2 linked regions of the Arabidopsis thaliana genome follow. The protein of the gene in region 1 interacts with the protein of each later gene in a biochemical or structural test. Each region holds a gene or a part of one and is shown in the gene's direction. Other genes may lie near its edges. The genes, in order: D6PK and PIN3.

The links.
Region 2: of the proteins of D6PK (region 1) and PIN3, one has a biochemical effect on the other in vitro, tested with the Arabidopsis thaliana proteins (one study listed by BioGRID).

What each region holds. Positions count from the first base shown.
Region 1 is NC_003076.8:22,639,253-22,644,498, reverse strand, and holds D6PK (D6 protein kinase), read left to right. Parts: upstream 1-2,084; 5' UTR 2,085-2,390; exon of another isoform or gene 2,391-2,636; intron 2,637-2,753; 5' UTR 2,754-2,864; coding exon 2,865-3,499; intron 3,500-3,582; coding exon 3,583-4,444; 3' UTR 4,445-4,686; downstream 4,687-5,246. Other genes in the region: AT5G55900 (Sucrase/ferredoxin-like family protein), read right to left, coding at 4,897-5,246.
Region 2 is NC_003070.9:26,740,759-26,747,025, forward strand, and holds PIN3 (Auxin efflux carrier family protein), read left to right. Parts: upstream 1-2,181; 5' UTR 2,182-2,411; coding exon 2,412-3,642; intron 3,643-3,717; coding exon 3,718-4,021; intron 4,022-4,101; coding exon 4,102-4,187; intron 4,188-4,623; coding exon 4,624-4,781; intron 4,782-4,866; coding exon 4,867-4,943; intron 4,944-5,046; coding exon 5,047-5,113; 3' UTR 5,114-5,711; downstream 5,712-6,267. UniProt on the Arabidopsis thaliana protein: Acts as a component of the auxin efflux carrier; this activity is enhanced when activated by PID-mediated phosphorylation. Seems to be involved in the lateral auxin transport system.

The sequences.
Region 1 (5,246 bases):
TTTTTTTTATAATATGCCCATCATAATTGAATTATTTTGGCTGACTTTAGTGAAACAAAAACAAAACTGGAAAGAACATTAAAATATTAAAAAATATTAGGTAAACGAATTTGCGTGTAGAAGTTGTTTTGATTGATAATAAATAGAAATCTCTATCATTATATTTATAAGTTACAACAAAGAGATCTAAACCAAACTCTAAACTAGTTTTTTTGGAGCTTACCAAAAAAAAAAAACTAGTTTTTTTGGACATAAAAGAACTAGGTATTTTTGCTATTTAAAGCATTCACAACTACCACCAATAATGATTAATCTCATTGTAGGAACACTCGAATCTTTAATTTTCACGATAAATCTTTTAACCATTGAATCTCTATGAATTTGTTAAGAAAATAATATAATTAAGACTTTGAGAGGACTCGATCTAAATCTAAGAGTAAACCTAGAAACTTGTATAAAAATGGATATTCTTACCATTTAAATGTTAAAGCATCCTTAGTGACAGTGTCCAGCTATGATTTAAATTGTAATGAAGAAACTTAGAAACCTTAATCCCTCAAGTATCATGGTAAACAAAACATTTTAATAAACTAAACCTTTTATTTTGTTATTATTGCAGTATTTTTAACCTAAAGAAATGGGATTATAATGAAGAAAGATTCCCCACTCGCGTTTCACGTCACAAGCCGATCGTGTAGCAATTGTCGTTATTGGATCTGAGCTTCTCGATTAAAAATTGACGCAGTAATTGGATCTAATAAGAGCATGAGGTTAAAATATGAATTATTTGAGATATGAGGAAATGAACAAATTATACCCACTTGTGTTCTTTTATGTTGAACAATCTTCTGGTTTGTCAACTACCTGTTGAACCATTTCTAAAAAAACATTGTTTCTGTTCGATTTAAATGTGGGGGAAAAAAAATAAAATACATGAAATATAATCTTAGAATCTAAGGAAACTTATTATTGGGCAATAAATAAGAATTTGCTGAAAAGTTTTAGGGGCATCTTTTGGAACTCTCAAGTTTCAAACAATGGTGAGTCTAATTTTAAATAATTGTTTGGTGTGTTTAGTAAAAAAATAAAATAAAATTAATACACATGACCAATTTACGTATTTGTTATTAGGGAAATTTTTTAAAGGTTTATACAATTTTGGAATGTTTAGTTATTTTTAAAAACTTAAAAGATTTTTTTTTATTGATTTTGGTAAATGACAAAAACTTTCACTAAAAATTTGAAAACAGAATGTTTGACGGATGCTAACAAGCTTTTAGAAAGTATTATTTCGACCATAAAATTGGATGAACACTGGATGTAAATGGAATTGATAACAAAAGAAATCGAGATATAAAATATCTATTGTTATGTCTTCATTCAGCTTATAAGATTTATCATCTATTGGCAATCCGAAAAGATGCAAAACTCTTTGTGATATGGTATGCGCTAATGTTCATTTAATGCCTCAAGTTTCACCCATTAGAACACAAGAAGAAACTTCCGAAGATGCTGCATGATGACGAAAACATACGCTTAGGACGATGTTTTCCAAACCGCATAAATAAAACAGAAAATTATAGTTTGGTGGCACGCATATGGGATTGTCCTTCTAACAAAAATGTGCATTCACAATAGTTCTTACTTAGAATTGCTAAACTGAAAAACTCGTGTGAAAACTTAAGCTAAATATGTAAAATCCATAAATTTATGCATAGAGGTAAACATCAATTTTTTTTATCATCAAGTAAAAGGCACATGACAGATTCATGAGAATAGATGAAAGATAAGAATGTTGAATTTTAATAATTTAAATTGATGTGTTTAATAATTTAAAGAATCAAAAAGGAATTTTTTTGGTAAATATATATAAAAATTTCTATAGACAATTATTTAGAAAATCAAAATATAAAGTAAACATGTAGGAAATATACAATAACATGTATCAATAAAAATTTGGTTGCCCTAAAAAGCCTAAAATTATTAACAGCTCGCGAGAGCATTCTTGATGTAAACATATGTCTTCCATTTTGGAGAAAACAAAAAAAAATACATTGAAATAATTGAAATTCCCTCAAAATAAAAAAAATAAAAAAAAGTATTCAACTTTTTATTTGACCCTCTCTCTCCTCTTCCCTCTTTTCATGGTAGACCCAATTCTCTCTCTCTCTTAACAACACTCTCTCCTCTCTCTCCCTCTCTCTATCTATCCCCATTTCCATGGAAGCAAGCAGATGTGTTCTTACATCTCTTTCTCTCTCTACAGCCTTACATGAACAGTGACTGTTCTCTCTCTTTCCCTCTCCTTCCTTTTTTCTTCTACTTCTCCTTCCCTTTGCTTCGAAAAGGGTATCTCGTGATCTTTATCGCTCAAAAATCTTCACTTTCAGGTAACGATTTATTGGGTCTCTCTCTCTCTCTCTCTCTCTCTCTAAAGCTCTGTTCTTTTTATTTCTTCTTTTTCTGGGTTTTATTCTCTGATTCTTGCTAGATCCAAAAGTTCTTTATTTTGCCTCTTCTTCTTCTTTACTTTAACGAGATCTGTTTTTACCCTTAAAGACTCAAAATAAAAATCCAAACTTTTTGCATGAAGAGCTTTAATTGATTTGTCACTTAGATTTGATATTTCAATTTGGGTAAAATTTTGTGCATCTACTTAAACTTTCATCTGTAGTAAGATCCGTGATTGTTGTTTCTGAGTCTTCTCAATCCAGCTTTAAACTGATGCTATTGTTTTGTTTTGATGACTATAGATCAGGCCACTCGTTGATGGAATCTGTGACAGTATTGATTACTAGAGAGTAAAGACAAGTTCTTTAAATCTCAGGGAAGAAGGAATTGGTGTTTAAGATTGCTCTGTGTTAATGATGGCTTCAAAAACTCCAGAAGGATCACTTACCAATTCCAGTCAAAGTATGTCAATCAACACTTTAGCAGATCAAGTATCTTCGAGTTTGTCTTTCGCTGATCCAAGTAGTGATGGCAAAACCGGTAATAGTAAGATCAACGAGCAAGGTGAGAGTGGAAAGAGTAGCACTTGTAGACCAAGTACAAGCAGTGATATAAGCGATGAGAGCACTTGTAGCAGCTTTAGTAGCAGTATCAACAAACCTCACAAGGCTAATGATGTGAGATGGGAAGCTATTCAAGCTGTTAGAACTAAACATGGTGGTTTGGGTTTGAATCATTTTAGGCTCTTGAAGAGGTTAGGATGTGGAGATATTGGAACTGTTCATCTTGCTGAGTTGAATGGAACTAGGTGTTATTTTGCGATGAAGGTTATGGATAAAACTGCTTTGGCTAGCCGGAAAAAGCTTCTTAGGGCTCAAACTGAAAGAGAGATATTGCAGTGTCTTGATCACCCGTTTCTTCCGACTTTGTATAGTCATTTTGAGACAGAGAAGTTCTCTTGTTTGGTGATGGAGTTTTGTCCTGGTGGTGATTTGCATACACTAAGGCAGAGACAACCCGGGAAACGCTTCACCGAGCAAGCAGCTAAGTAAGAAACTTTTTCTAAACTTTCTTTATCTAAGAATCTAGTTTTGTGCGTTTATATAACCTTAGTGACTTGCTGTTTTGCAGGTTTTATGTCGCGGAAGTGCTTCTTGCAATGGAATATTTACACATGCTTGGGATCATTTACCGTGATCTGAAACCCGAGAACGTTCTTGTGAGAGATGATGGGCACGTGATGCTTTCGGATTTTGATCTCTCCCTGAGATGTACTGTGAGCCTCTCTATAGTCAGATCAGCTAATGTTGGATCCGAAGGCTTGTCGAAGAATTCGGTTTCTTGCTCGCAACAACCTGCATGCATCCAGCAACCATCTTGCATCTCAATGGCTCCAACATCTTGCTTCGGTCCTCGGTTCTTCTCATCGAAATCCAAGAAAGACAAGAAACCGAAAACCGAAAACGGGAACCACCAAGTAACTCCGTTACCAGAACTCGTTGCAGAGCCCACAGGCGCCCGTTCTATGTCTTTTGTTGGCACACACGAGTACTTAGCTCCAGAGATCATCAAAGGTGAAGGACATGGAAGTGCAGTTGATTGGTGGACCTTTGGGATCTTTCTTTATGAACTATTGTTTGGTAAAACACCGTTTAAAGGGTCAGGAAATCGAGCAACGCTCTTCAACGTGGTTGGTCAGCCTCTTAGATTCCCTGAATCTCCGGTTGTTAGCTTCGCAGCTAGGGATTTGATAAGGAGTTTGCTTGTGAAGGAGCCACAACATAGATTAGCTTATAAGCGTGGAGCAACAGAGATAAAGCAACATCCTTTCTTTGAAGGAGTGAATTGGGCTCTGGTTCGATGTGCCAGTCCACCGGAGATTCCTAAACCGGTTGATCTTGAAGCTTTGAATCCTACTCCTACTGTGCCAGCAGCCGCATCTTCGAGTGTAAGATCTGATCAGAGTAATTATCTTGAGTTTGATTTCTTCTGAAGAAACTGTTTCCACAGTTGATGATTCTCATTATTGTTTCTTTGCAAATTCTGTTTAGTGTTTTCTACAAATGTGTTTCTTTTTTTTTCTTCTTTTTAATTTTCACGTCTTGGAAAAAGTTATGAGATTTGTAATCATTCTTCAAAGTTGTGAGACAGTCTCTGTACCATCTTCTTGAGTTTAATGTTAGACACGAACCATTGAGAATCCATTAATCCACCATATCAAAACCTCAAAAGTTCCTTGCTTTTCATTGATCTGAACTCTAAACCAAATTGACTAAACCCGTAATTACTTACAAATGGATATATAATAATCATATGTTATCAACAAGCAGTTCTTACTTAAGAGTTAAAACCCTCTTCTAACTCTGTACAGACGAAGAGGAAACAACTAATCTAAAGACTGAGATAATTACCATTGCATAGAAGCTAAATATAAAACACATAGCTTCATTTCAATTGTTTATAGCAGTTATAAGCAATAGCCACAGATGCAGCAGCACAAGCAACAGCTAAAGCAGCATATGTATCTTCTCTCTCCCAAGTCTCCAACCACATTGACATCACCGCACAAACCTTGAATCCACCAGAAGATCCATTCTCGCTGCTTCCTATCCGAAGAGATGCATTTTTTACAGAGGTTACTCTCTCCGAGGTATTTTTCTCTGTGTGAATCTCCTCCAGACAGTAAGAGGAGTTCCCATTTTGTTGGCAACCACTACCGTTCAGCTCTGGGACAGCTCGAGACTGGCAACAGATACTATTATTAACTGATTCTTGAGTCACCTCTCTGTTGCTGA
Region 2 (6,267 bases), on another chromosome or scaffold:
GTGTATCTTTGATTATTTAACCACAAACATAATTTTATTGCATATAGTGTGTTTATTAAATGATACTGTACTTTAGTTTCTGTTTTGTATAATACTTCTTTTTCTTTACAATAATATTTTAGTACTCTATTGAACTCAAAGTTTGACCAAAATTTTAGATGATATTTTTGTAACAATTAAAAGAGGGCACATTTTTAAACTTAGCCATAAACATTTTGAGTCACTCAGTCATAGCCTTATACGCACAACACTGTGTGTACTAGCTTTATTGTGGAATATGTATATTTTTGTGTAGATCTTTATGTACATTAGCTAGAATTATCAATTATATAAACACTTAAACAGATGGAATAATTTGGTAGTTAATGGAAATGGTTAAGCTGACATATGAAGTGCTTCCAAAAGTTCCCTAAATCTTTTGCCGATATCTAGGATTATTTATTTTGTTAATTGAATGTCAATTGAGTGAAAATATTAAGATATAATAATAGGTTGATTCGATTATGATAAATAGTTGAATAAAGTGTATAATATGGTTTTGTAAGGACGGCAGATTTTATCTTAGCTTAAATCACAATTAATCATTCATGTTTGGACTTATTCGAGGAAGTTGTGTCAAGTAATATTTTATGCAATCAGAAAGATACAGCAACACTAAGTCACAAGAAGGTCACGACATTCTCTGTCTCAGCCATTTACTCATGTGAAACTTTGGCTCTGTACTAAAAAGGTAGTAATGCCCATATCGGGAAAAAAAATTATAAGAATAAAATACAGGAAAATATTTTTTTCTACTATATAAGTGATTTAATGATATATTAACTAAATTTATACAATAAATTGAGCTATTTGGTTTTGTAAAACTCATAAATAAAAATGACATATATTAACTATACTCATAAGTACTACATTGTGATGATAATATTTTAAAACTCAAATATCAAATCAATAAATGTCTAATATCAATTTCATTGATAATTCATTTTTGAATTTTATTTCTCTATTAATCTATTTAAAAAGATATGTTTACCGCTAGCCTCCAACCACTAGTTAGAGGTTAACCACTGTAGTTCTAATTTCAGTTCATCTCAATTTTTGTTTTGGTTAAAAAGTTTAAACCGATCATCTCTACACTAAATTCAGATTTTAGTTTATGTGAACAAATAATTCCGAAGCGACGTGTTAACTAATATCATGAAGGGGAATTAGACAGAAGCTTAACGATGAGAATATAGGCTAAAATTTATGTCGTCCAAGGAGTAATTGAGTGTTGCCTACTTCACGAGACAAATAAGTAAACCTAACAATAACACATAGACACACTCGACGCCATTAGCCAAATTCCATTTGAGCCATCCAATTCCTTAGTGGATCTTCTTTGTCTCCAGCCCATCTTGTCTCCTTATTTTTCTAATGATTACTTTATAAAAAGTGTTTTATCAAACATCACAAAATATAAAAAGAATTTCCAAATACTTTTGATATTTAACTATTGCTTTTTTGATTATTAGCCGGGGTACCAAGATATTAGTTTTTAATTTAGTAATATACCCATATGTTTAATATTGATATCGATATTGATTTATTCATATTACGAAAATGGATTAGTTAGAGAATGTGAAAGAAAGGTAAAGTAAAATATTGAAAAGCAAAGATTAGGGGACAGAAGAGAAAAGGTATGTCTCTGCCATGCCCATCCCCAAAAGTAGAGTGCCACATGTAGACCTTCTTCTTAAGATCTAACTCAGATGCTATTTGTACAAGTAAAAAATGTGGCAGACTCAGTTTCTATTTTTCCATATTTTACTTTAATCTTCATGAATCATAAAAAATGAAAAATCAAGCACATGAATGTCACTGAAATTATTCAACAATATTCTTATTTATCAGTTATTTTAATTATTTGACTATTTATGTGTATGTTGTTATCTACAATATGTCCGTTTCAATCAGTCGAACAAAAAATACTAGATTTTAGTTATGTAGTATAAAATATAAAAATGTTGAAAAACACTCTAACCATTAATTTGTATTATTTTAAACTTTCCATATGATGAGATGTATTATTCAATATAATAATAAAAAGAATATTATTTAATAATTAAACAAAAACATAATAAATCTTATAAACAATATCTTAAAAGAAAAGAACTATATTGTTATTTTTTTGATAAGATCGATAAAAAATGTAACATACTAAAGAATAAATAAAATAAAATAAATTAGTAAAAAGGAACTTGGGTGGTCACGTATTTGCTGTATAAAGAGGTGTAAAGTGGCATCCTTCCTTAAATTATATCCTCAAAAACCAAACTTGCTCACTCCACACACACACTGCTCCCAAGTCCTCTCACTTCTTCTTCTTCCTCCGACACCGTTGCTTAACGGTTTTCCATTTTTGTCCCTTCAAGATGATCTCATGGCACGACCTCTACACGGTCCTCACCGCCGTGATTCCTCTCTACGTGGCCATGATCCTCGCTTACGGCTCTGTCCGGTGGTGGAAAATCTTCTCACCCGACCAATGCTCCGGAATCAACCGTTTTGTCGCCATCTTCGCCGTCCCTCTCCTCTCTTTTCACTTCATCTCCACCAACAATCCTTACGCAATGAATCTCCGGTTCATCGCCGCCGACACTCTCCAAAAAATCATCATGTTGTCACTTTTAGTCCTATGGGCTAATTTCACTCGCTCCGGTAGCCTCGAGTGGAGCATCACAATCTTTTCCCTCTCCACACTTCCCAACACTCTTGTTATGGGGATTCCTCTCTTGATCGCCATGTATGGCGAATACTCTGGTTCCCTCATGGTCCAAATCGTCGTCCTCCAGTGTATCATCTGGTACACGCTTCTCCTTTTTCTCTTCGAGTTTCGTGGCGCCAAGATGCTCATCATGGAGCAGTTCCCTGAGACGGCTGCTTCCATTGTTTCTTTCAAAGTCGAATCCGACGTCGTTTCGCTCGACGGCCATGATTTTCTTGAGACCGATGCAGAGATAGGTGACGACGGGAAGCTTCACGTCACCGTGAGAAAATCCAACGCTTCACGTCGTTCGTTCTGCGGCCCGAACATGACTCCACGGCCGTCAAATCTCACCGGAGCTGAGATTTATAGTCTCAGCACCACTCCTAGAGGCTCTAATTTCAACCACTCTGATTTTTACAACATGATGGGTTTCCCCGGTGGTCGTCTCTCCAATTTCGGTCCGGCGGATATGTACTCCGTTCAATCATCTAGAGGTCCAACTCCTCGACCTTCAAACTTCGAGGAGAATTGCGCCATGGCATCCTCCCCGAGATTCGGGTATTACCCTGGAGGAGGAGCCGGGTCTTATCCGGCTCCGAATCCAGAGTTCTCTTCAACCACCACATCTACCGCCAATAAAAGCGTCAATAAAAACCCGAAAGACGTTAATACGAATCAGCAGACGACTCTTCCAACGGGCGGCAAGTCAAACAGCCATGACGCCAAGGAGCTTCACATGTTCGTCTGGAGCTCAAACGGGTCACCCGTTTCAGACCGGGCGGGTCTTAACGTTTTCGGCGGAGCACCTGACAACGATCAAGGCGGAAGATCTGACCAAGGTGCTAAAGAGATCCGTATGTTAGTCCCAGATCAATCTCACAACGGCGAGACCAAAGGTTAGCAATCTTTAGATAACTTTCTTGATAAGTCACTGCAAATTTTCTCAATTCTGTTTTGTGTGGTGAATATAGCTGTAGCTCATCCAGCAAGTGGAGATTTCGGAGGAGAACAACAATTTAGTTTCGCCGGAAAAGAAGAAGAAGCAGAGAGACCAAAAGACGCCGAGAATGGTCTAAACAAACTTGCTCCAAATTCCACGGCGGCGCTACAATCCAAGACAGGTCTAGGAGGAGCCGAAGCAAGTCAACGAAAAAATATGCCTCCGGCGAGTGTGATGACAAGGCTGATACTGATAATGGTTTGGAGGAAACTCATCAGAAACCCAAACACTTACTCTAGTCTCATTGGACTTATTTGGGCTCTCGTCGCTTTCCGGTTAGTAAATCAAAATTAATTGTTTTCTTAACTCGAACCAACCGGTTATCGGGAAATTTATTCCGGTTTTTGAATTGAAGGTGGCACGTGGCAATGCCCAAAATCATTCAACAATCTATCTCCATTCTATCTGATGCTGGTCTTGGAATGGCAATGTTTAGTTTGGGTAAGTCTTTCTTCGTACTCTGTTTTTATTCCTCTCGAAATTTTAGTTTTGAAGCCATTTAAATGAATAAATATGATTCATACCAAACGTCTTACTTGTCACGGAAAATTTCTAAATTTTGCATATTTCGTTGACATATTAACTCATTTACATAACAATGGAATTAAATTAGGTAGTTCATAAATTTATATGCTGTTTTTGTCATTGTGATTTATATTATGAAAAACAAAAAATTGGGGATGGACCATCCGACAGGTGGGGCTATGTTGTGAGTGTCTTATTAGATAAATGGTAATGGTGGACGACATGGTCTCGTGTTGTTGATAGTCGTCATGGTCCCCATTTTTATGGGACTTTATTGGATTTATTCTAGATATATAAAATTTTATTGATTACCTGATTTTGAAATTAAACTTTATGTGAAATAATCGTGAAGGGTTGTTCATGGCGTTGCAACCCAAATTAATCGCTTGTGGGAATTCAGTGGCAACGTTTGCCATGGCGGTTAGGTTCCTTACGGGTCCGGCCGTGATGGCGGTTGCTGCTATAGCCATCGGATTACGTGGTGATTTACTGCGTGTCGCTATAGTTCAGGTAAAATTTTCTCTCTCTTTTTTTGGTTAAAACTATTTTTGGTGTAATATGAAAAATGTGAAAATGTTTTGGTATGGTTTTTTAGGCCGCATTACCTCAAGGAATTGTGCCCTTTGTGTTTGCGAAGGAGTACAATGTTCATCCTGCTATTTTAAGTACAGGGTAAGTCAAAGATTTTATGATAATTATTCCATTAGCATATATGATTACTAATGCAATCCTTTCAATAACATTTAACATTGTGATAACTTGAATGACTTTTCAGGGTAATATTTGGAATGCTTATAGCGCTTCCGATCACGCTGGTTTACTACATTCTACTCGGGTTATAAGCTTTCGGTTATGAAAGCCCCGAGAAAGAGTCAATTGTAGAGGGAGAAGGAAGAAAGGGAAACTAGAGAGTGTCTCATGGAACAAACTAAAAAAAGCTTAGAGTATGTAAGTACAACTAGGGAGTAGCATGATTTAAGGAATGCTGATGCCAACATTACAAGCCAAGAAACCCTTTCTTCTCCCATATTTTTTATATATAGAATATTGGGAGATTATTTGAGTGAGACAATGGGACGCAGATAAGGAGGAGCAAAACATGGGGCAACGAGACAAAGAAAAGATAAATAAAAGATTGGAAGATGAAGACAACTTATTATTTTTGTAACTTTTATTTTTCTTACACAGTCTTTTTTTTTTTTTTTTTGTGTTCTTTGATTAGGTTCGGGTAACTCTTAGTTGATTATTGTGTAGATTTTTTTTAGCGAAGAAAAGTGTGGTTTTGATTTTGAATATTCCCTTGTTCCAGTTTCACATGAGCAAATAACGCTTTAAAAGTAAACAGTTTATATTATTATTCTTAATTAGTACTATTGTGATCAAATTTGGTGGCTTTACTGATTCTTTTCTGCTGTAGTAAATGATGAGAGTCGTAGTGGGAGAATTGGGTTAGGCGCTTTGGCACTGAAAGCATTTCGTGTTATCATTAGTTTAAGCTGGTAGTGATGTAATTAATAGTCCATGTAGTGTGTGTAGGGATGATGAACAATAATTATTTAAAAACAAAAAGATAAAGAAAAGGCAAAAAGATAATTAAAAGTCAAAAAAGCTTTGTCTAAAGTTTAATAAAAAGCTCCTTTTCATTTCTTTATTTGTTTTCTCTCTTTCGAAATTGATTTTTTAAGAAAGTAGAGTATTTTTTTTTCTGTCAACAAAGTAAAAAATGGATATAAGCAAATTGACTGAAAACGACCGTGTTTAGTTTTTATTAATGTAGTTTATCAGAGTTTTCCGCCATTTTTTCTCGTGTTGCGGGCCGATTTTTCCTTCCTAATATTTGAAGTATAGTTAACCATGCGTTTGTTGGATATAAAGTATGTTTAACAATGAAATATTTTTGTGTTTGCCCCCAATTTTTTTTTTAATTGTTTTTGTATTTGAGACAATGGAATCTTAATTTTATGTCATATTAGTTTTAATTACTAATAAAATTTAA